Linked DNA regions of Drosophila melanogaster. The protein of the gene in region 1 interacts with the protein of each later gene in a pairwise test. Each region holds a gene or a part of one and is shown on either strand. Other genes may lie near its edges. The genes, in order: CG14204, aust, Indy and CG5103.

Evidence for each region.
Region 2: the proteins of CG14204 (region 1) and aust interact in a two-hybrid assay, tested with the Drosophila melanogaster proteins (one large-scale study listed by BioGRID).
Region 3: the proteins of CG14204 (region 1) and Indy interact in a two-hybrid assay, tested with the Drosophila melanogaster proteins (one large-scale study listed by BioGRID).
Region 4: the proteins of CG14204 (region 1) and CG5103 interact in a two-hybrid assay, tested with the Drosophila melanogaster proteins (one large-scale study listed by BioGRID).

Annotation. Positions count from the first base shown.
Region 1 is NC_004354.4:19,581,617-19,588,520, forward strand, and holds CG14204 (uncharacterized protein), read left to right. Parts: upstream 1-2,000; 5' UTR 2,001-2,025; coding exon 2,026-2,323; intron 2,324-2,382; coding exon 2,383-2,755; intron 2,756-2,813; coding exon 2,814-2,887; intron 2,888-2,960; coding exon 2,961-3,276; intron 3,277-3,340; coding exon 3,341-3,557; intron 3,558-3,848; coding exon 3,849-4,030; intron 4,031-4,088; coding exon 4,089-4,560; intron 4,561-4,630; coding exon 4,631-4,930; 3' UTR 4,931-5,441; downstream 5,442-6,904. Other genes in the region: CG14218 (uncharacterized protein), read right to left, coding at 1-43; CG14219 (uncharacterized protein), read right to left, coding at 5,766-6,035, 6,096-6,546, 6,607-6,779, 6,839-6,904.
Region 2 is NT_033779.5:9,248,781-9,252,973, forward strand, and holds aust (australin), read right to left. Parts: upstream 2,263-4,193; 5' UTR 2,229-2,262; coding exon 1,973-2,228; intron 1,907-1,972; coding exon 1,512-1,906; 3' UTR 1,268-1,511; downstream 1-1,267. Other genes in the region: borr (borealin-related), read right to left, coding at 2,898-3,096, 3,162-3,570, 3,855-4,193.
Region 3 is NT_037436.4:18,842,747-18,848,577, forward strand, and holds the start of Indy (I'm not dead yet), read right to left. Parts: upstream 3,522-5,831; 5' UTR 3,314-3,521; coding exon 3,290-3,313; intron 41-3,289; exon of another isoform or gene 1-40. UniProt on the Drosophila melanogaster protein: Cation-independent electroneutral transporter (not associated with membrane depolarization) of a variety of tricarboxylic and dicarboxylic acid-cycle intermediates. There is also small, but detectable, transport of monocarboxylics.
Region 4 is NT_037436.4:18,291,234-18,296,700, forward strand, and holds CG5103 (uncharacterized protein), read right to left. Parts: upstream 3,030-5,467; 5' UTR 2,996-3,029; coding exon 2,177-2,995; intron 2,113-2,176; coding exon 1,060-2,112; 3' UTR 892-1,059; downstream 1-891.

The DNA.
Region 1 (6,904 bases):
CCACCAACAGCAGGGCCATCAACTGCAGACGTAACATCCTCATCCTGACGGATCAAAGAGTATGTGTGTACCGCTCGAAAGGCCGTTCCAATCAGAACTGGCGCTGGTCAGCGCTGGAGTCGCCTGCCTGTACTCCAACGGAGTGGTGCCACGCGGGCCTGGGCGTCGCGGATTAAGTGCCCCCCCAAAGTCAACTAGTTAGACGGGTTAGCTGCGACCGTCCGCCTGGATCTCGTAATCGCAGACCCCGCCGACTGCCGGCGGTTATCAACGAGTTCAGTGCGTGGCAACAATTACTTTTGCACTACTTTTGCGCCAGTTTATAGATCGTAAGTGCAGCTCGAACTATGCATAATGCTTAGCGGCGAGTGCATTTTAAGAGGCTAAACAACACGCACCGTGGGACTAGAACTCCATATACCCACCTATATATATACCATACATACACATAGCATATACCATATAGTAGAGCTGCCTCCAACATAAGGGATTGATATACACAAGGGAACTAACTATCTGCAAGCTCATTAAGTATCTATACTATTTAGATTGTTCTGTGTCGAGTACGAATCTACATGTTTTAAAACCCTAACAAAATATCAATAATTCACAGATAAGTTTCCCATAAGATAGGGAAATCATTCATAGATTGCTTGTTTTATAATTGTAAACTCAAGTGGTTATATACCATATACAAACGTATGTATGTACATACTACCAATTTCACTTGAACTTGTGTCAAATCTCATTCCTCAAAACAGTTCAAATGTTCAACAATGAAGATTATCTGAATATTATAGGTGTATTCGATTGGGAAAGATTTTACGAACAGTGGGCGCTTACTAATTCGTTGACTAATTCGTCAAGTTTGTACCACTGTGCCGAAAAAGAGGGGCTGTCACGATTTGCTCTCATAATAATATGAATTTCAATTTCGGTTTGGCTGCGGCTGTTGCATTTGATTTTCAAGATATATTTAATCATTTCCAGAGTAATTAACAGCTTTTGGTTTTTCAAGCATTGGCGCAACTGGACAATGGTTAGCAACTCTCGTTTGCAATTCGCATTCGCATCGGAATTGGGTGAAAAACCAGTTTAGACCTTCGATTTTCCGAAAGTTTTGACCAAAGTTTTGACACTTGCTGCCTGAGTTCTGCATGTAAATTAGATTTTGACTGCTGTACCGGTTGTTCAGGTCTTTTCAAATAGGCAACTATGCATAATCTAATTTAAGTCATAGTTACTTATATACATATATAAAAGTACCATTCAAAACACTAACTTTCGCGTTGGCAATGCTGGGTATCTGATAGTCGGTTCGGTTGCATTTGGCGTTCCTTCTCGCTGTAACCTTGATGTATTGCTGTTGCATAACCAAAAAATGCGAATCTGGTCCAAAATTCATACGAAAACCAGTCGGTGCCACACCCCTCCACTTTTGGCTGGGAACCTAGACGAAAGTGAAAACTCGTTCGAATTTCCATTTTCCAGCAAAAGCTGGGAAAACCTGGAAAACACAGGATATCGAGAAATAAGTATTGCATGTCAAAATCAAAAACTGGACAAATCTCTGTCCCGAAAAATGTCGGAATTGCAGACACAAAAAAAAAAAAAAACGACAGACAACTGAGCAACAATTTGCTGAACATTTCGTTTGAATACCATTAGTCATGTTGTATGGAAAGCCAAATCGCCTTTTAATCAGCAGCTAAGTTAAGTTAAGTATTCTCGGGAAATTCGACAAGGTAGAGATGCTACCGAAACAGCCAAATCCAGCGGCTTATCTTTCCGGGTATTCATCCGAATCGCAATAGTATTAGCCACGTTAAGAGTTCGCTGCCCTGATTACCAAGGGTAGCTATGCCTCCGATTATTGGTAACTATTCTATTGTCGGAGGCGCAGATAATGAGATAATGAATTCTCGATTTCGAATGGGAAATGCACAGCAGGATTTGCCTGTGTATAAATGGGCCAGGGAAGGGTGATTCGCTAAACAGTCGTAAACTAGGAGCTCCAGGCGAAAGATGATCAAGCTATTGGCTATATTGCTTGCCATGGGAATGGCGATGGTCCAAGGAGCGCTGCCGACCCAACTATCAAATAATCAATGGACACAACACGATGTGTCCTCCATGGCGGATTACGAACGGCTCCTGGATCTGCGCTCCCTGGCAATGGAGTTCTATCGCGAATTTCGGAACATTTCAACGGCGGATGTGCATCTTCTGGGTGAGCGGATTGGATCACAAGATCTACAGTGCCTGGCCGATATGGCCCAGTTTATGAGTGCGCTTAGTGCGCCCAAGGCGTGGGCCCTAAAAAGTGGGTATTACAACATCTTCAACTTTGATGCCATTTGAGTTTATCCCTTCTATGCGAAGTGCTCGACGCGTGGGGCACCATTCCATCGGGATATCTCATTGGCAACCGCGTCGACATGGGCAACTACAGGGAGTGCCTGTCCGAGGGCGGAATGCTCACCTCATCGCAGGACATCCAGGGAAAGTACTGCTTCATGGAGCTGCCGGTTGCCAAGTGGTTGGGTTTCACTTCTGAGCTGCTGGCGGTGACCAACATAAGGACTGCTGTGTGCCTGCCTTCCTCTTGCTCGGCGGGCACCATGGAGCTGTTCCTCAAGCAACTGCTCAAGCGGCTGCTTGGCGTCAGTGATCCGACCAATTTGTTTTCCATCAGCGAGACGTCGTGCAGAATCAAGGAGAAAGCACCCTGGGATGGGCTCACCATATTCACAGTGTGAGTAGTGTCTTGATACATCCTAGCTGATCTATCCATACTAACTGACTACCATCAGCGTTCTACTGTCCGTATTTGGTGTCACGGTTATCCTGTGCACCCTCTACGACTACTTCTTGTGTCCGGAGCAGGGTAAGTAGCTGACATAAATCGGATAACAGCCTATATGTATGTATATGTACCATATATCCATGTCTACCCGCAGAAAAGCTACCCCGTCCCATCGGCGCCTTCTCAGCCCGTGCCACTTCGCGTTCGCTGTTCACCATTGTGGAGAACACGGCGAATCCGAATGTAATCCACTGTCTCAATGGCATGCGGTGCATGTCCCTGATCTGGGTAATCTTGAGCCATGAGTACATTATCAACATGAAGGGTCCCGCCATCAATCCAGCGGACAACCTGCGATGGGCGACGCAACTCTTCTCGAGCTTCATACTCTACGGTACCTTGTCGGTGGACACGTTCTTCTTCATCAGCGGCTTGCTGCTGGTTTCAATTGGCCTGCGAAGCATAGAAAAGTGAGTCAACTTGTACAGGGATTAATCCGATCTGTAGGCAGGCTAACATTCTCAATGGCTCCAGAAACAAGGGAAAGCTAAATGTGCCGCTGATGTATCTGCACCGATATCTGCGCCTCACTCCGATCGTAGCCGTTGCCATACTGGCATTCTACAAGATGATACCCCTCATCGCAGACGGCCCAATGTACGATGATATCGGCTTTTTCGACTACTCCGGGTGCAAGATGACCTGGTACTGGACTCTGCTCTACGTGCAGAACTACGCAACATCCGATGTGGTGAGTTGAATGTCCAAGTTGATCAGGAGAGGTGGACAAGCCCATCTAGTCCGTCCGTATCAGGATGGATCTGTATCAACCTTATATACCTTAGAAGTTACAATAATTAAAAGTGTTTAGTGGCTTTACTGCGAATAGGAGATCACTTCGATAGATGGCGCCTGCAGCACTAGAATTGATCGTTGGCGCCATCTATGTAAGTTCGGTGGTACCATTGCCATTGCAGTTGGAGCTCTTGACTATATCTGTATATTTATCTATCTAATTATTTGATTGTTGGTTGCTCCTTAGTGCGTGCCGCATACCTGGTACTTGGCGGTGGACATGCAACTGTACATCCTGTCCCCGATCCTGCTGATCGCCCTCTACAAGTGGGGCAAGAAGGCGGCCGGAGGTATCCTGGTGGTCACTTTGTTGCTCTCCGCCTGCCTGTTTGCCACCATAATGGTGAATGACTTCCCTGTGATGTTCAAGTAAGCCAGTCGCGCCCGCCGTTTTGTGTCCCCCAATGCTAATTGCAATTACTAACAGGAATGGAATTCAGGCTCAGGTGGTTCAGAGGAAGATCTACACCGCTACGCATACCCATGCGGCGCCCTGGTTGGTCGGTACTATGTTCGGTTATCTCCTGCACCTGATGCGCGGCCGAAGATTCAAGTTAAGCCTCCTGGCTACCTGGGCAGGCTGGCTGCTCTGCCTGGCCCCGCTCTTCACCTCGATCTTCGCCTTGTATCCGTACTCCAAGCTGCTGGGCAAATCGCCCTCAGTGTTGCAGGGAGCCCTCTACTATACACTGGTCCGGATCGCCTGGCCCCTCGGTCTCTGCTGGGTGGTCTTTGCGTGCATGCAGGGCTATGGTAGTCTGGCCAACAGCTTCCTCTCCTCTCCACTTTGGCAGCCGTTGTCCAAGCTCTCCTACGGCGCCTACATCTGGCACATCTTTGTCGTGGAAGTCGCCAATAGAAGCGTTCAGACCAATACGTACTTCTCCAACTATCAAGTGGTAAGTGTGTGGCAGGCAGGGTCACTCGACATTCCTATTGGACTTGAACGCTTCATTTCCAACTCCATAGATGCTCAACTTTTGGTCCACCTTTGGCTTTACCCTGCTGATGTCCTACGTGCTCTACGTTTTAATTGAGGCGCCTCTGGAGGCCTTGGAAAGAATTATGTTTCCCAATCGCAGAAGCCCGCCAGCAGCAAAGGATCAGCTGCATATCGAGTCCCGAACGGAAGTCGTGGACCAGATGGACCAGATGGATCACATGGACGGGATGGATCAGGTGGTGCAGCACGAGAAGCGCAGTGATATCCAGCCTGACCTGGAAACGAGTGCCAACAAAACAGAGACTGACCTCGAGTTATCAAATTAGACTTATCAGCTCCTATTTAGCCTTTATTAAAACGAACTACTTGTAATCTAGGCACAATTAACTTAACCACGGGTCTAGAGTTACGATGGAATGAATGGTCCTTGAGTTGAAAAGTCTTGCACTTAAGACGATATCAGTCGTTATCTGGTTGCGACTTTTGCGACCAGGTGGGTTTCGAATTAGTCATGAAGGTGATTCCCGACTTTGGCTTGCTGTAATGGGCACACAAAGATTTCAATTCTGACTCACAGAGGCGATGCACGCCCCATTCAGTTACAGAAAAAAAGAAAAGAAACACAAAAAAAAAACAGAAGGAACGACTTTGTCTAGTGTCTCGACTATCAGATATGTATGCACCAAAGCGTTTACAAGTTTTTCAGTTTGATAAGAGCCAAATCTGTTGATAATTTACATTCCATAGATTACGTATTTGTATTTGTATACTTGACTTCCCCACTTTGCTGACCATGTGTCTTGACTTTCATCTGCGTAGTGACGAAATGCTATGTTTATAGTCAGGAAATTGGAGAATTTGCTCTGATAAAACGATAAAATCAATCGATTGACAAACCAATCGAAACGTATTTATTAACATTTTAAACTTGTATTTTGGATGCTTAAAGTGGGCGGGGCCAACATGTTGTGGGCAGATCGACAGAAATGGGCAAGCCAAATAATAAAAGTAGGCGTATCTGCGTTCATATGGATGGACATGGAAGTATCGACTCGTCCAGTGATTCTGATCAAGAATATCGGAATCGCTTACCGTACAATGAATTTCGAACACAGTTTTAATACTTTACGTAACGCATGAAATCATATATTTTAAATGTAATTATACTAAAACGTTGCTCTTTTCGGGAGCAGCCTGAATAACTTCGTCGGGTATCGTGGATATCGCTTCCGCAGGCTTACCTACTGGAGATTCTTCGACTGATGCCTTCACCTCCGACATCCTGGGCTCCACCACCGCGGCCGGCTTGGCATTTGGCCTCTTTGCGGGCAGCAAAAGGCTTTCCAGACCGGCGAATGGCGCTTCGATTAGGATATGCATGAGGTACGAGAACAGAATCGTAAAGCCAAAGTCCGTCCAGAATCGAAGCATCTGGAGATAGGGGGATTCTTAGAATGGTCAACTCCGCGTACAAGGGAACATGGTACCTACCACTTGATAGTCACTAAAGTAGGTACTTGTGTGCGTGATTCCACCGTTCAAGCTCTCGATGAACATGTGAAAGATGTAGGCGGAATAGGATAGCCTGGACAGCGGCTGCCACAGGGGAGAGGATAGCAAGCTGTTGGCCAGTCCTCCGTAACCGTGCATGCAGGCGAAAACCACCCAGCAGAGACCAAGGGGCCAGGCGATCCTGGTTAGGCTTACGTAGAAGGCCTCCTCCACAATGGGCAACGTGTTCTGACCATAGATCGAAAACAGGCAGCTGGCTATCAGTGACAACGCAATCAGCCATCCCAGGAGGACAGCCAGGCGGTTCAGCTTGAAATCCTTGCCCCGGTTGGTATGAAGAAAGTAGCCGAACAGTATGCCAATCAGGTAGGGAGAAGCACGAGTCTGTGTGGCATAGTAGAGCTTCCTCATCGAATCACCGCCGCTTCCTCTGCAAATAAGAGAATTGTTCTGAATATCTTACATATAAGTATCCCTAACATCCACTTACAGCGATAAATCATTGATGACCATGATGCTAAAAAGACAGCCGGCCAGCAGGAGCATCAGAACAAAGATTCCGGCAGCCGCCTTCTTGCCCCACTTGTACAGGCAGATCAGGAGGAATGGTGCAAAGATGTACAGCTGCATGTCCACCGCCAGGTACCAGGAATGACTTAGGCACTGCGAGAAACCGTGGGTGATATAAGGTGATACAAAATGTCGTCATCGAAGGACCCTACCAGGCTATCAGTCGCATAGTTCTGCACATAGAGTAGTGTCCAGTACCAGGTGCTCTCACATGCTGA
Region 2 (4,193 bases), on another chromosome or scaffold:
AAATTTGTACGAACTCAAAATAGAACAGAACCGAGAGCAATATAACAACAAATTTCACGCAGCACAACTACTCAATATTTAAATTAACTTATTTTCAGTCAATGCAAAAATGCAAAAATAGAGGAACGAAAATATCGATTTGATGGAAGAAGGCATCGTTGATTGATTGGCTGTGTTATCAAATGGAAAAAAAGTTGAAAGACCGAAAAACGTACGACGAAATAGGCCTAAAATTTGAAATTGAAAAACATTTTCAAAAGTAGCGGATGGTCGAGGTTAGCGTAGTTAGAGGTGTAGGAACCGAAACCGATATTTATATAGGTTGGTTTATTCCACATATATAGGAGGTTGGATTAATGCTGAATTTATGGAAGGGGATCAGATCTTTAAGAGCAGGCAACTTCAGTTCAAATTGTCACATATGTATGCATCTAATTTTGTTCACTTATATCAACGATTATTTAGCGCTTAGATAAACACACATAATCGGTAATTTGGGTATGCTAAAATACGTGATTTGGAGGGAAGACTGTACTGAAGAAAAACGGCAAGTTGTTTTAAGATTATCGTGAGTATTTTGATTAGATTATACTCGTTTATTGCTGGTTTTGAGTCAGTACCCGTATGTTTAATTCTTTGAAATCGTTTTGCGAAAACTCTCAAACCCTATCCACACAAACATAATGAATGTTACAAATCTGAATGTTATGTTGTTGTCATCTGTCACTGTTTACACGTATCAATTGATTGTCCAAATATGTATATGTTGTCTTTGTCTCTAAAAATCGTATTGAATAATTCAGTGAAAACAAGCGTATTTTAAGTCTCTATATATGTACCTTTTGCTATGTATTGTATTTTTATGTATCTGTAACTATATAAACGCGTACGACACGCCCCACTCCCACTCACATTTCACACTCAAATGGGAAACCTAAGAAACAAATGCTAAATTTAACACTATACACACTAAAAATTAATGATAATTTTTAATAACTAAATCTGTATATGTGTAAATGTAACGTTTGTCTAAGGAATCACACAACTGAAAGTGAAGTTGAAAAGTTAGGAAACCAAGTAAAGTTTCACTTGAATTTCATTTCAATGAAAACACAATACACTTTAATTTAACTAAGTACTATACTTACAAGCATAATTGAGAATGTTCACCCACAGACACACAAAACACACACATGCAACACAATAGAAAAATGTTTAAACAATTAAATTTAATGTTAGTGGAGACGGTATTCTGTACGCTATGTTTGTACTTACAAATCGATATATATATATATATATATATACATACAATTAATTAAATTTATTAATTAATTATACAACAAGAAGCAAGCAAAAAGCAGCAAACAGCAACAAGAACAACAGACACGTTCACTTAATGTTTAACAACTGAACAAAAACATTGAAAATGAGAAAATGAAAAAGACTAAATAAAATATTAACGAAATAAGCGTAATAGACGCGTTCTTAAAGTTTCCTATGATAGCTAGCAATTACGGTTTCAATTTGCCCAGTTTGTTGGCCATGTCCACAATTAATCCGAGATTGGCATTCAGTGTCTTCACCTGGTTGAGTGTGTTCTCATCCAGCTGCATCAGTACTTCCCGCTTCACGGTGTTGATCTTGTGCGGTTTCACGGTGATCACGCCGCCCCTGGTGGGAATGTGGACGTCCGCATAGCGATCCGGACGCATCTGGACGGCCAGCGGGCTTCCCGCCTTCGAGAGCACCATCTCTCCGGCGCGGGGCCATCGCACAAAGCTCATGGTGTCGCCACTCAGAGCCCTGTCCACCGAATGCGCCTGAAGCCTCGGTGGCAGGGCATTCTGCGGAGTTCGTGTTCGACCACGACTGATGGACAAACTGCGAGTTGTGGGCGGCTTAATAGCTGGAAAGAAAGTAAAACAAAAATAACAATTACTCTTCTATTGCCGACAGTTAAATTAAATCTCACCTGCCCTCTGAAATTCGGCAAAAGTCTTAAACCCGAGAGCCAAGAATTCTGGCATCTTCATTTGCAGTAGCTGCTTATCAGTCCTACCACGGATCACCTTAATTTGGTTGTCCACCTCTTGCTTGTAGCGCTTGCTCATCTCATCGATCTTCTCCAGAGCCGAATCCATTTTGATTTGGGACAGGCGCACTTTCTCTTCGCGATCAGCCTTCTGGCGCTGGGCCTGACGACGAGCTGTAATCTTGGTGCGAGGCATATTTCTAACGATTTATATATTCCAGTCAACTAATCGCCTAATTCTAACAAAGTCAAAGGGCTCTTTGGTGAACAAGCGATTCAAAACTGTATTCATATCAACGTGCGAAAATACATTTTAAACATTTTTAACATAACATAATTTTATTGGCCACTTTCTGAAATCTGGGAACTTAAAAGCGGTTGCCTCTTTTGCAATTAGCAAAAGAAAGATGTTATTTGAAGGTAGCAGTTTTTGCTAGAGCCATGAAATCCGACCATTTCATCTGCAGCAAACGAGCATCAGTCCTGGCTTGAAGCAAACCCAATTTGTTGTCCACATCCTGCTTGAACAACTTGGCCATCTCATCGACTTTATCCATTGCAGAATTAAATTGGATTCTCACTTTCTCATCTCTTTCGATTCTCCGTCGTTTTGCTTGAAGGCGAGTAATCATCATGGAACGCTTCATTTTTTTTTTTTTGGATTAAGCATGTATTTAAAACATTACATTTAAATCGCCGTACACTTGGATATGAACATGTATTGAAACTTATGCAAATACGATAGATTTTTATGAATAAAGACAAAATACTTGAACTAAATGAGTAAAATGAAAACTGAACTTAAACGAAACGTATTAAAATATATGATATAGCATTATATCTAGATAAGCGTTTGAAATGACAGCTACTTGAACACCGCCTGGCTGGCCTTATTAACAATCATCTGCAAGTTCTCGTGCAGCGTTTTGATCTGGTTAAGGGTGTCCTCGTCCAGGTTCTCCAACAGATTTGACTCCACCTCGTCGGCATCCAGTTTTTTGGGCCGCAAGCTAAGAACTCCGTTCCGAATGGGTATGTTCACATTGGCGAACTTGTCTGGCATTCTATCGTGTGGGAAAAATGGTTTTAACAAATTGGTATCGACACGTAGTATGTGATCAATACTTACACTTGAGCCACCATGGGACTGCCGTATTTGGATAGTGCCACCTCGCCGGGCTTGGGATAGCGCAGGAATGCCATCGGCGGTGTAGTTGGCGATCCGGAGCGCATTTGCTTCTGTTTCAAAGGAGTGCGGTCGGCACTGAAGGCCTTCGCACGCGAGGCCATCGGTGTGCGCAGTTTGCTGCGCGAATTGCGGCTGCTGCTGCTGCTGCTCGAAATTGACGGCGGTTTGGCCGAGTGCAATATGTTGAGATCCCCGCAGGCGGAACGACTGCGCCGCGCTCGACGAGCCCTCGCCGAGTGCAGTGGTCCGGGTGTGCGCATGGCCTTCGTGGACCGCAGCAGGGAGCCTGTGTGGGCGGCCAGGATGCTCCCACCGCTGGCACCGATGCTGCTGTCCTCTGTAAGGTAGCCTAGATACAGTGACCGGCACAGGATGTGGATGTGGGTATATGCATTTTGCGTGCATTGAAATGTGCGGTGCGGAGTTAGAAAGCAAAGTTGAGTTAGTCACAAAGCCGGACACCAGTTAGATTAAAATTAAAAGTGAAAATGGCAACAAGAGGGTATGATGAATACCGAATATACAATGGAATTTGCCAATTTGGCATGTAAAACCGGTATTCATTTGTAATTCGGGTGATGACATCCTTGCCAGCAGATTGGTATAACAGCATACATATATAGGCCAACAAACCTTCGTCATTGCGACTTCCAGTGGCGGAGGGGGCGTGGCCCTCGATGGCGCTGCCACTCATGGACATCGAGGCGAGCAGCTGCGTCTGATCGCTGGCCTTGAAGTCGCTGAAGCGGTCCAGTTCCTCGAAGAGGCGCAGCACTTCGGGCATCTTCAGATTGGCCAGCTCCTTCTGCACCTGGCCGAGCAGTGTCTTCACCTGGTGGTCCACGGCGGAGAGGAACTTGGTCTCCAGCGAATCGATGCTGATAAGGCGGGAATCCATTTTCAGCTCGTACAGGCGCACCTTCTCTTCGCGATTGGCCACCTCGCGGTTGCGTTTGGAGTTCTTTGGTATCT
Region 3 (5,831 bases), on another chromosome or scaffold:
AATCATTCATTTTCCATATAAGTATAATGACTTAAGCATCAGGAATATCTTCTTCACCGTTTACGCTTTAATGAGTTAAGGCCCATGTAAGCTGGGTAATTGAAGTGAAACTTTCTCGATGGCGAGGGACATGCACTCGCTGGGTGAAAGTGGGCATGAGGTCCAGAATCCACTGGAACCACTCGACAAGTCGTCAAGTCAATCTCGGCGTGAAACTCGTTTGCCTGTTCAAGTTTTAGTTGCTTACATCAAGTGCAAAAGATATGAATGTGACAAGTGGTTGCCACTGTCATCGTCATCGATTGCTGGCATGGAATGGACTTGAAGCTTTTCCTGTGCATGCCGCGTGTAAATGTTCTATCATCTGCATTTGGCATGCTCCACATATGGGTTTTCCACTAAAAACTGATAAAAATAAGCGTGGCCTGTTAAGATAGTGGTTGAGATACTTAGACGTTCTTTAATCATCGCGGGTGGTGAAATAAATTCTATTTTTAGAATTCCAACTTCAAATTCAAATAGGTGTTGTCAAGGACTGAACATGCAATGTACTAGGAAAATAGATTGTTACGAAAGTAACACTGACTAAAAAAAATATATAATATTTCGCTTAGATACAATTATAACAGAATTAGAGAAAAAAACAGTTTTACCACGGCGGATTTGTAGGCTTCTATGACATAGAAATAATTGCAGACCAACACACTTTGTAAAAATCAATACGAACAAATTTCAAAGTCGCATAGGAAATGGCCATAAATTGTTGATTGGATCGATTCAATTGAGAACGAGGACGATTCGGTTAGGGAACCTACGTGCATCGAACATTCGGGAATCAATACGACAACTTTAAGAAACTTGCCAGAACAAATTTCACTCATATTAAATTTCGCCAGAGAGGAGATAATTGTATCAGATTTATTTCAGAGGCGCCGTGCTTGACAACACATTATTTTCTTTGATCTTGCTGTTTAAGCAAGAAAATGCTATATGAATCATAAATGTATCTTATGTGTGTAGAAACATATGTGGAAAGTTTTTTTTTCGCAGCAAGTTGATCAAGTGAGATCATTTTATTGCATTGAGCTGTAATTTAATTGAACCGAACGGAAGGCGACAATGAAATGCAACGAATAAATTAGTGTACACGAAGTTAAGTAAAATATATGTACATATGTATGTAGAAGAAACCGACCCACTAAATGTGTGCTAACAACATACATACTTAAATCGTAAGAAATGTACTGCAAATAAGGTAAATACCCTTTATTATTGGTAAGCAGTGTTCTTGAACAACTCGCACTACATTTTATTGAAACAGTTGTTAGTTATTTGTAATTACTGGCAATTAACTTACAAAAGGGCTAAGTTATTCAAGTGCTTTGTTGTGAAAATTCCCTACCTGCTATTATTAAGACCATCGTAAGAATTCAGGATTTCAAGCCGTTTCCAATCGACTTCGATCAGCAATTTGTTGGCCACTCAAACGAGAAGCGTGCAAGTTGAAGTTGAAACATTAAACAGATCTTCTCTAGAGGCTCTCACTTAGGAAACCCCCTGTGCTCGAAAAGCAAAACCAGTTTAGCACCGGTCAATAAATTTCAGCTCAAGATTTTTGCAACTTGTTTTTTTGTTCGCCAAACAAAACAAACCGAAAACCAAGGCTCAGAGATTGAGTTTGACCCACATTTAATCACTTTGAAACACAATTAAATAAATAATATAGAATAGTCGGAATATCAAATAAGAATCATATTCATTGGTCCCATTAGGTAATGCCGCAAAATAAATCCCCATGCTAAGTTCAGACACATTTTGCGCGTATTATACGAAAGAATATATCGAAATAAACATTTCAGATCTGCGTCTGCAATTGTTTTTCCTTTTGCGTCATTCCATGTCACGTGTGGGGGCGGGGCCCACAAAAAAAGATGTATTTTCTTCAAGGTAATATGGAGATTATAAGCCAAAATGTGAGTAAACATTTGTTCGAGAGCCAAAGTGCTAGGCGATTCTAAAAATATACGTAAAGTACTTTGAATTCTAATGCAGACATTCATCTGCTTTTGGAATTTGAACTTCAAATGCATAGTACTCAAATGATCGTTGGACTCTCTGTTTTGAAAAATGGGGTGACATTTGTGAAACAAAACGCATAATGAATTTATCAGCTTTATCTAGTTCCATTTCATTCATTACTGAAACAGGGTTTTACTATTTTACGCTGGGTCTATTAATCAGATAGAGGTGCCAACAATAAATAGTGAATAACAATAATTATAATATCTATAAATCTACAACGAAATTCCTCGCCTGATCATTTCAAGCAGCTTCTGTCTAAATATTCTCTGCACTTTCTAGGTTCCATAAAGTCTGTTTGCAATCCTCGCGCTTCTGGAAATTCCAGAATCAACGTTATCACACGTTTATAACTCTGCTCTTCAATAAAAAGACGAATTGTGACGGATTCTTAAAAAAGTTAAGCGCTTTTAAGCCTTTCCACTAATTGCCTTGAGAAACCTGGGGCATGCTAATTATTTTGCTGAATCTGAATAATTTTGTACATATTGTTATCTTTCGGTGTCGTCATTCAGTTTTTCGGTCAGGTGGTTGTCCACACACGAGAGAGATAATGCATACATATAATACATATAATACATATGGGGAGAATGTGGGGGAAGAAAGCGGTGTCACTTCCGAAGATTTGCACAAAAGTGCGCTGCTTCAGTTAGATAACAGATGGGGAAATGGAGATATCATACCAGCAGAATAATAAAAAACTGGTCATGGGTTGTTAAGTGGGTGTGTAAACAGTATGACGACACTTTATAGATTGAGCACTCAAACAAGCTGCTCAATAAGAGAGCAAAATGATTGGAAGTGTTTTTATATAAGTACTTATTTTCTAGGGAGTGGAATATATCTCCAAAGTCGGGAACAGAAGCACTTCGGCTAAGGAGCACAATAGCAGCACATGTGATCTCAAAATCATTTTAAAATTGATAAAACACTTGGTTTTGGACTTTGTTTACATAACACTCTCTTACCTAACCCGATTGCCACGCGCTACTCAAACTCGAAACCAGGTTTTCAGTCGGATCTTAACAGTTCGTCGCGAAAAGTCCTAGGGGCTTGCCGGGCATTAAGGCAGGTTCTCAAGGTCAACGAAAAGCAATTAACCGGAAAAGACGAAATGCCGCCACGTTCCCAAATTTCTAGCTGCAAACCACTTATCACTAATCACCTGCCTAATCACAAGTAATTACCGCTTTCTCAAAATCAAACTTACCATTTTTGTAGTTTCGGTCGCCATGGTTGGGGATCTATATGGTATAGATACTATTGGTATATCTGAAGAATTGATCACGCCGTTTCTCTTTCAGCACAACCGTAAGCGATTATTTCATAATTTCCACCACCGCGCCGAAAAATAACATATATATATATATATATTCGTTGGCTAGACCACTTTTTATGAATATGTTGCTTTGCGTTCGACGACTAATATGCGAATGCTACCAAAACTCAAAACCAAACCCAAACGATTTTCTTTCGCATTCTCCTCTCTCTCTCTCTCTCACTCGCTCTCTCTCTCTTTTAAGCCCTGGACATGGAAAATATCTGATAAGTTGTCGTTGTCTCTGTGGGCAAATACAAATACTTTAATACGCTAAGAGACACATTTAAACTTGTTTTTGCTGTGCATGCTTCTTTGTAGGGGCGTATTTACTATATTCTACACAGGTATATCTACATATCGTTCGTACACTTAAAGTATTTTTTACCTAGTTGACCTTTATGGTAAATTAAAATATTCGGAAGGGTTACTTTAATATTTTTATATAAATATTTTTAAAAGTGCTCTTTATTTAAGCCATGTTAATACTTTGATACTTTGTAATTTTAACAGGCAGTCAAAAACCCTTTTCAAACAATTTTTGGTATACTCCGCATGTAATTGAAATTTATTTTACGTTTGTCAAATGTAGAACAACGCGATATATACATACTCTGGCCTTGAAATTTAATTAAATGTTGTTTGAATATGCTTTGTAGTTCCTATAGTCTCTTTGACTCACCGTGCAAATTGCTAATGCATTTTTCGAGACCGGTGTAACTTGGCATTTCATTAATTTAGGATTATGTTGTCGATACAGACTGTTCTATTTAGCATAAGTCAGCGACTCATGCCCATGTTGATGAATTTTAATATGTGAGTATGAAAAGCCTTTTCCAAAGACTCAAAACGGAACACTCAGCTGGCAAAGGGTGTATGTTGATGTTCCTTCAGCGTTTTGTGGTTGTCTGAAATTAAATTTCTTTTTATATCAAAGTGCAAAAATAGCTTAAAAAGTCGATCTTACCTGTCATTTTCACTGATGAGAAGTGGGTTCCGGTGATCTGCCAGGACCAGGAGATATACTGAGTCTGGCTATAAAATATATGATATAATTCAAAACGACCCCAGCATTACTCCGTATGGAAGTTAAAGAATGCAGTTTTAAGTAACGAAAAATAGCCACCACACATTTAGAAATGTTTTGATTTATTTTATATTGTTATCTTTATTGCCACTATGTTTCTATATTTCCAACGAATTTTAAATGTCTTATATTATAGGAACTCGAGCTCCTCTAGTTTTGAATGTCTGTCTTACTTTTCCTTTTTTCACTCCTCTCTTCAGGATTTGAATAAATTATGATGGTCTTCCTAATAAAAATCCATAAGTTGAAAAATTTTAATGTTTTCAAATATAAAGAATACAAACTGACTTTAAAGAAGATACAGTCTTATTGAAAAAAAATTAAGTTGCCTTACTTTTCTCTTGCTCTTACTTTCTCACTTCTCTGATCACTTCCGATCGAAATTTTCGATGGCATAAAGCGTGTTTATGCTAGATATTTTTTTTGCACGCCGTGGTACCTGAAGAAATACATTCTGAGTGCATGAATCATGTGTCTAAACTCAAATCTTTACCTAAACTATCACTGTTAATTTGTGATTAATTCTTGGCAGAATCAGGATCAATTGTAATGGGGAAAACGAAATCTTTCATTTTTTTCCGCATTCCTAGTCTGATGCCAGTGCAACTAAAACTTCTGCGATCTGAGATCTCGACGTTCATACGGACAGGCGGACATGGGTAGATCGACTCGGCTATTGATCCTGATCAGGAATATATATACTTTATATAGTGCGAAACGCTTCCTTCTGCCTGTTACATACTTTTTAAATCTAGTATAATGAGCTCCGATTCTTCCAGCCAATCTACAGCGAATGCTGTGTCTGCAATATTGACCCCGATTTCCTACATTTCCTAATACCCTGCATCCTAAACGATTTCATCGCCCTTCAGTCCCCTTAGATCCAGCAACACGAATTCAAAACTTATAGACATCTTAAAAACCCCCACATCCAAATTTCTGAAAAAAGCCAATATAATCCATTTACTGTAAACAATTTTTCGTAATCCCCAATTATTAATCCCTTTAAATATATTGTAAATAATTGTAAGTAATGTTGTAACCTAATACTTAAATATTAAATAGTAAATATTAAAGGCTGGCTGAAAACCCCAACAGCTATAGCGTATCTTTACATTAACTATCATGAATCATAACTTTAAAACTTTTGTCTACAGTGTACAAATAAATAAAAAAATATAAAAATTTTAGCTAATACCTTTACGAAAATTTTTAATATTTAAGTACTTTTAGTCACTTTATTGCGTATTTTCGCCGAATTCGCTCTCTTTCTTTTTCGCTCGCAAAATCAGTTCGCCTCGCTTAAATTCGCCAGCACGTTTTTACTTACGTGTAATTTGACATGAA
Region 4 (5,467 bases), on another chromosome or scaffold:
ACTGATTAGGAAGCGAAAAACAATAAATGGACCTCTGATGCCTCAGAGGCAAATGAATAAATGGATGAATGCCACATTAGACGGCAACGGATGTCATTACGGATAATTTAAAGTGGCCTTTGGTCAGGCGAGATAGAACTAAAAGAAACGGGAGTGATTCGACCACGAGATACCCTTGTTTTTTTACAAAATATTTTTGTTTCATTATTAATATAAGGCTCCTATTATATATACTTGTATTTATCTTTTAGTTATACATATATAAACAGAAAAAGTTGTCAGTTAAGCTTATAACTAGAGGAACATATATTAAATAAATTTTTTTATAGTTTTGTAATTAATTTTAAAATTTCTCCTGTTCCTTAGGGGTAATTCCCTGTTCAAATAGTGTCAACTATTTGCCTGATAATACAGTCAAACCGTATCGAAAACTAAATCAACAATAGGAAGAGGAGGCTATCGATTGGATGCGCCCCTGCGAAAAGGTCACTGCAAATAAATATGTCAAAATCGAAAAGTACCGCCAACGCAGTAAATGATCCTCTGTGTTAAGTTCCTGAAATTAATTCCGCCCAATTGATTTTTGGCAAATGCAATTTTTCTTTGAACTTCAGTAGCATGTAGTGCATTTCACGTTGCACGGTTATTAGTTCAGGTAGAGCGATATATAATACCGCAGCTGAAGAGCACGTATCAATGAAAAAGGGACAGGTCACATTTAAAAAAGGGTTGATTTCTTATTAAGGGAATATTTGATTTATTAAGAAGTGGAGTGGTTCATATTTCGGTCCAAAAACAAAGTACTTTGAATACAATAAAGATCATTTAATTCTCATAAAAAAATAAATACAGGTGACTAAAATGTCCAACAATGCGATAATAGTTTTTTTTATTAACTTCTTGCTAATTTTTTATTCAATTTGCATGATAACCAAAATATAAATATAGTTACAGTTATAATTTGTGTTGAGAGAGATATTTAAAAGTTTTGATTACGGAAAGTACTTGAAATTATAAAGTTACACTTCTTAATTTTTTCGATTTTTTCGAACATTCTGCTCACTTCTTCATGATGGCCAGGCTTGCTTTGTATATATTTCTGGAGGAGACCCCAAACATGTCCAGCAGAACAGCAGGAGGGCCTGATCTCGGTACAGTGGTAATATAGAGATGCTTGACCACAAAGTTTCGATAGTCGGCCAGAGCACTGAGGACCGCCTCGCCCAATCCGCCTTGCTGGTAATGATCCTCCACCACGACGATTCTTCCACGACACAGCTTTCCATGCTTCACGATTAGTCCGACATCGAGGGGCTTCACTGTAAAGGGGTCGATCACTCGTGCCGTAATGCAATCCTCCTCCAATCTCTCCGCTGCGGCCAGGCACTCGTACAATGTGACGCCGGCTCCAATCAGGAGCACTTCATCCGAGGGCTTCTGGCGCACCACTTTGCCCAGTCCCACGGCAAACACCTCGTCATTGTTGTAGATCACCGTTGTGCTCGGATACGTTGTGCGGATGTAGCACACGCCCTTAGTATTGGCAGCCAGTTCCACCGCCCTCTCCGTGCTAACTGCGTCCGTGGGATAGAAGACCGTGCTCCCGGGAATGCTCCTGAACATGGCCATGTCCTCCAGTCCCATTTGGGAGGGACCATCCTCGCCGATGCTGCAGCCACAGTGGGAGCCCGCAAAGTTAACATTCGTGTGCGAAATTGCGCCCATGCGGATCTGATCAAAGGCCCGTGTGAAAAAGGTCGCATACGTCGAAACGAAGGCCACAGTGCGACGTCGACAGGTGGCTCCCACGGCCACGCCCACCAGATTCTGCTGTGCGGTGAAGCACTCGATGAAACGCTCTGGAAATGCATTCCTCATCTTGTCCGCATACGTCGAGTTCTTTGTATCGCCATCAAGGGCAATTACCCGAGGATTATCAGCCGCGATTTTGGCCAAGGCGGTTCCGTAGGCTAAGCGTGGGGCTACCGAATCTCCCAGCCGATAATTGGGCGGACTGCACAGCATTATATTGTTAATATGCACCTCGGGGGCGTGGCCGCACTTTCCCACCTTTTTGGGTGTCAGGCGGACGTTGGGATTTGCGATTTTCATCTGAGGAAACACATGATACCATTAACCATACCGTTAATGCAATTAATTGGTCTTTCAATCATACCTGCAAATGCTTGATTGCAGATTCGGCCCTCTTACCCAGTGGCTGTGCATGCATTTCTTCGATTCCTTCGATGCCCAGAAAGTCCTTTCCCTTAGTCGTCCTGGCTAAAAGAGCCGTGGGCTTACCCTTGGTGCTGGCCGCATTAATGAAGGCCTTGGCCAGCTCATCAATATCGTGGCCATTTAAGACTAGGGCATTGAACCCGAAGGCGTCCAACCTCTCCCGATAAACCTCCATTTCAGTGCCTATGTCCGAGCAGAAGATCTTGTTCATATCGAAGATTACGCACAGGTTGTCCAGGCAGTAGTGGCCGGCAAAGTGGAGCGATTCCCAGACTGCTCCTTCGGTAGCCTCGCCATCGCCCACGATCACATATGTACGATAGTCGGCCTTGTCCAGGTGTTTGCCCACATAGGCCATTCCAGCGGCCACTGAGATGCCCTGTCCCAGGGATCCGGTGCTCACATCGACGAAACTCAGCCGTGGAGTGGGATGACCCTCTAGATCACTGTCCACCTTGCGCAAATTTCGCAGCTCCTCCACCGGGAAGAGTCCAGCCTCCGCCCAAACGGCGTACAGAATGGGTGCAGCGTGTCCCTTGGACAGAACCAATCGATCGCTGGAAGGATCGCGAGGATGCTTCAGATTTAGGCGCATCTGCTGAAAGAACAGCACCGTCATTATCTCGGCCAACGAGGCACAGGACGTCGGATGTCCCGACTTGGCCGCCTGTGTCGAGGTGATCGAGTGGATCCGCAGCTTTTGGGCCACGTCCTTCAGGTTCTGAACGACCTTACTGTCCAGCTTAGCGTTCGACATTTTCACAACCAAATTTTGATTAATTTTGAGAAACTAATCAAAGACAGACTGTTGTGCTGTAATTTTTACCACATTTCAAATTTCCCTTCGATTGGCGTAAAAATTATATAATGTATTTATATAAGTTATAAGTTTTATTTTAACAAATTGGTAGAAGAATTTTGAAATGTTTAGTCCTTTTTTCTTCCAATTCCCACGTGTAAAATGCATGGATGGCTTTTTGATTTGATTTTGTTTTTTTTTAGTAATTGTACATTTTCAGCAAATTGAAAGCATCAAAACAGCATTCCCACACGAATCACTCAAACATCCAAGTAAGGTCATTACAAATCAAAAGTCGTAAATATTTTGACGGCAGAAACTCAAAACAGTAAAAAGTTTCATTCAGTGAAGGTTATATAAAAAAATGCAGTGTGAATTTACGGTGAAAAATTGCAGTTCTCACAGCGAGAAAACGCATAAGTAAACATAGAGTGCAGGACCAACCCTCTGGACCGATAAATGCCCATCAATGAGCCAAGAGGTGCAGTTTTGAAAACAGTTTAAATTTGATTTGGGTGCGAATCGGAATTGCACGAGGGTTGCATTGGATTCTAACCCTTTCCCCGGATCATCGAAGCGTTCCGTCTGTCCGAGCGCTAAATAAATCATTTCTCTTCGATTAATTCGCTTGCTGACATGTGCACACTCACATGTCCCGACTGAAGGGTTTACTTTGAATTTAAAAAAAAAGGGGTTTACACATGGTTTCGGCTAAGCGACCGCTACTCATGTCAAATTTTGGCTTTTGCTCTCCTTTGTAGTGGCATGGAAAATTGTCCATGGCCGTGCAGTCATAAGTTATAAATTAGTTAAGTTTCTTTCGAGCACTTTAAAGTCAGCCGGAGGGTTGCTTAAAAAAAGGGGTTCCCTCCACACCACACCCTTTCCCTTTTCCACGTCATTGAGTTTGCTTCCTTATGTGTGTTTTTCAAAATTTTTAAGTGCATTGATTAATTTTTATTTTGATCGGTCCGAAATCAATATTGTTTGCAAATTTCCAGTAAATACCCAACCGAAGACACGGGCCCAGCAGTTGGTGTGTGTAATTTGTCGTCATTCGCAACGCCCAGCGATATTTCCCTGATGTTTGCCACTTAGCAAAGGGTTCAGTATCCATTGCTAATGTTTCGAGTATGAATTCAAGCGAATTTATGTAGTGGAAGTGCTTTAAGAGAGTTTCACCAGATGATAACCGTGGGAAATGGGGATTATAGCATTGACATCTGATTTGGAGATTTCAAGGGGCCTAATCAAAAATGCTATTAAAATAAGTGAGTAATTTATAAGAAAAATTTAAAGATGATATACAATATATTTCCTGATCAAGGCTCTGGAACACTTCGCTGAACCCTCCGCTTCGGTAGGCACATACATCGTTTTCAAAGAAGAAGCCTCTGAGGACTGCGAACCCTCCTTCTGGCTCCTTCTGGCTGCTCAGAATCCTCCTTCATCAAGATCTCGTTGTTTCCAGTAGCAAACCCAATACGCGTTCGTCTTTTCTGCCATTTCTGAATTCAGTTGAGCTATGGAGCGGGTTTCTCAGGCAAGTGAAGAAGCTCAACAGGTGCCAAGTAACCGAAAAACTACCTTAAAAATCCAAAAACGCAAAACATTTCAAGAATAATAAAATTCTTTCAAAAATAACCTGTACAATTTAATTTAAGTAACAGCACAAAAACCACCAAAATGTATTAACCATTGTATATAAATATAGATTTTAAGCTCACGTTATAAACTATACTTTCATCTCAAATAAGTAAAAAACAATATATTTTAGACTTAAGTCTTTTATATAATGGTAAACATTTTTGCCTGGTAATAGTGAAGTATCACATTTTATACGATTTATTTTAGGACTGATAAACAATTCAATTAACGATTGACTGCCATTCCCAATCGAGGATGTGAAGAGCATGAAAAATCGCATTCGGATTCGGAATAAATTTTCCCAGGCTAAGCAGGCACACTCGACTTTAATAGGACATTTGACTAAGTGGAAGCGATTGACCTATGTCCAAGCTCATTTATTGATTCCGTCCATTTGCATAGGATAGGACCTATCTAGGCTTCCCCTCCCTTTGATCTGATTGCGACGCGTGTCCTGTTCGGCGATGCAAATTGGTCACACCCTTCAGATGTCAAAAGAAATATCGACGGATAGACGACAAATCGATTTGCATGGCAGGGCAGTAATAATGAATTTTGCCCAGGGTGACATAATTGTGCGAGGACCAGCTTGACCAGCCTGCGTTCCATCATAACTCATAATAATGAAGTGCAAATGCCTATGTATGTGCGCTACCCTGGGTATAATCGGCTTTCAATTCTGAACAAAAGGACTCGGCCTCAGAAGTCACGTGCCTGCTGTTTAATCCGTGTCCTCTACTTTCCTTTCTTTTCCACGAGTGAAAGTCCTGCCGGCGAATTTGT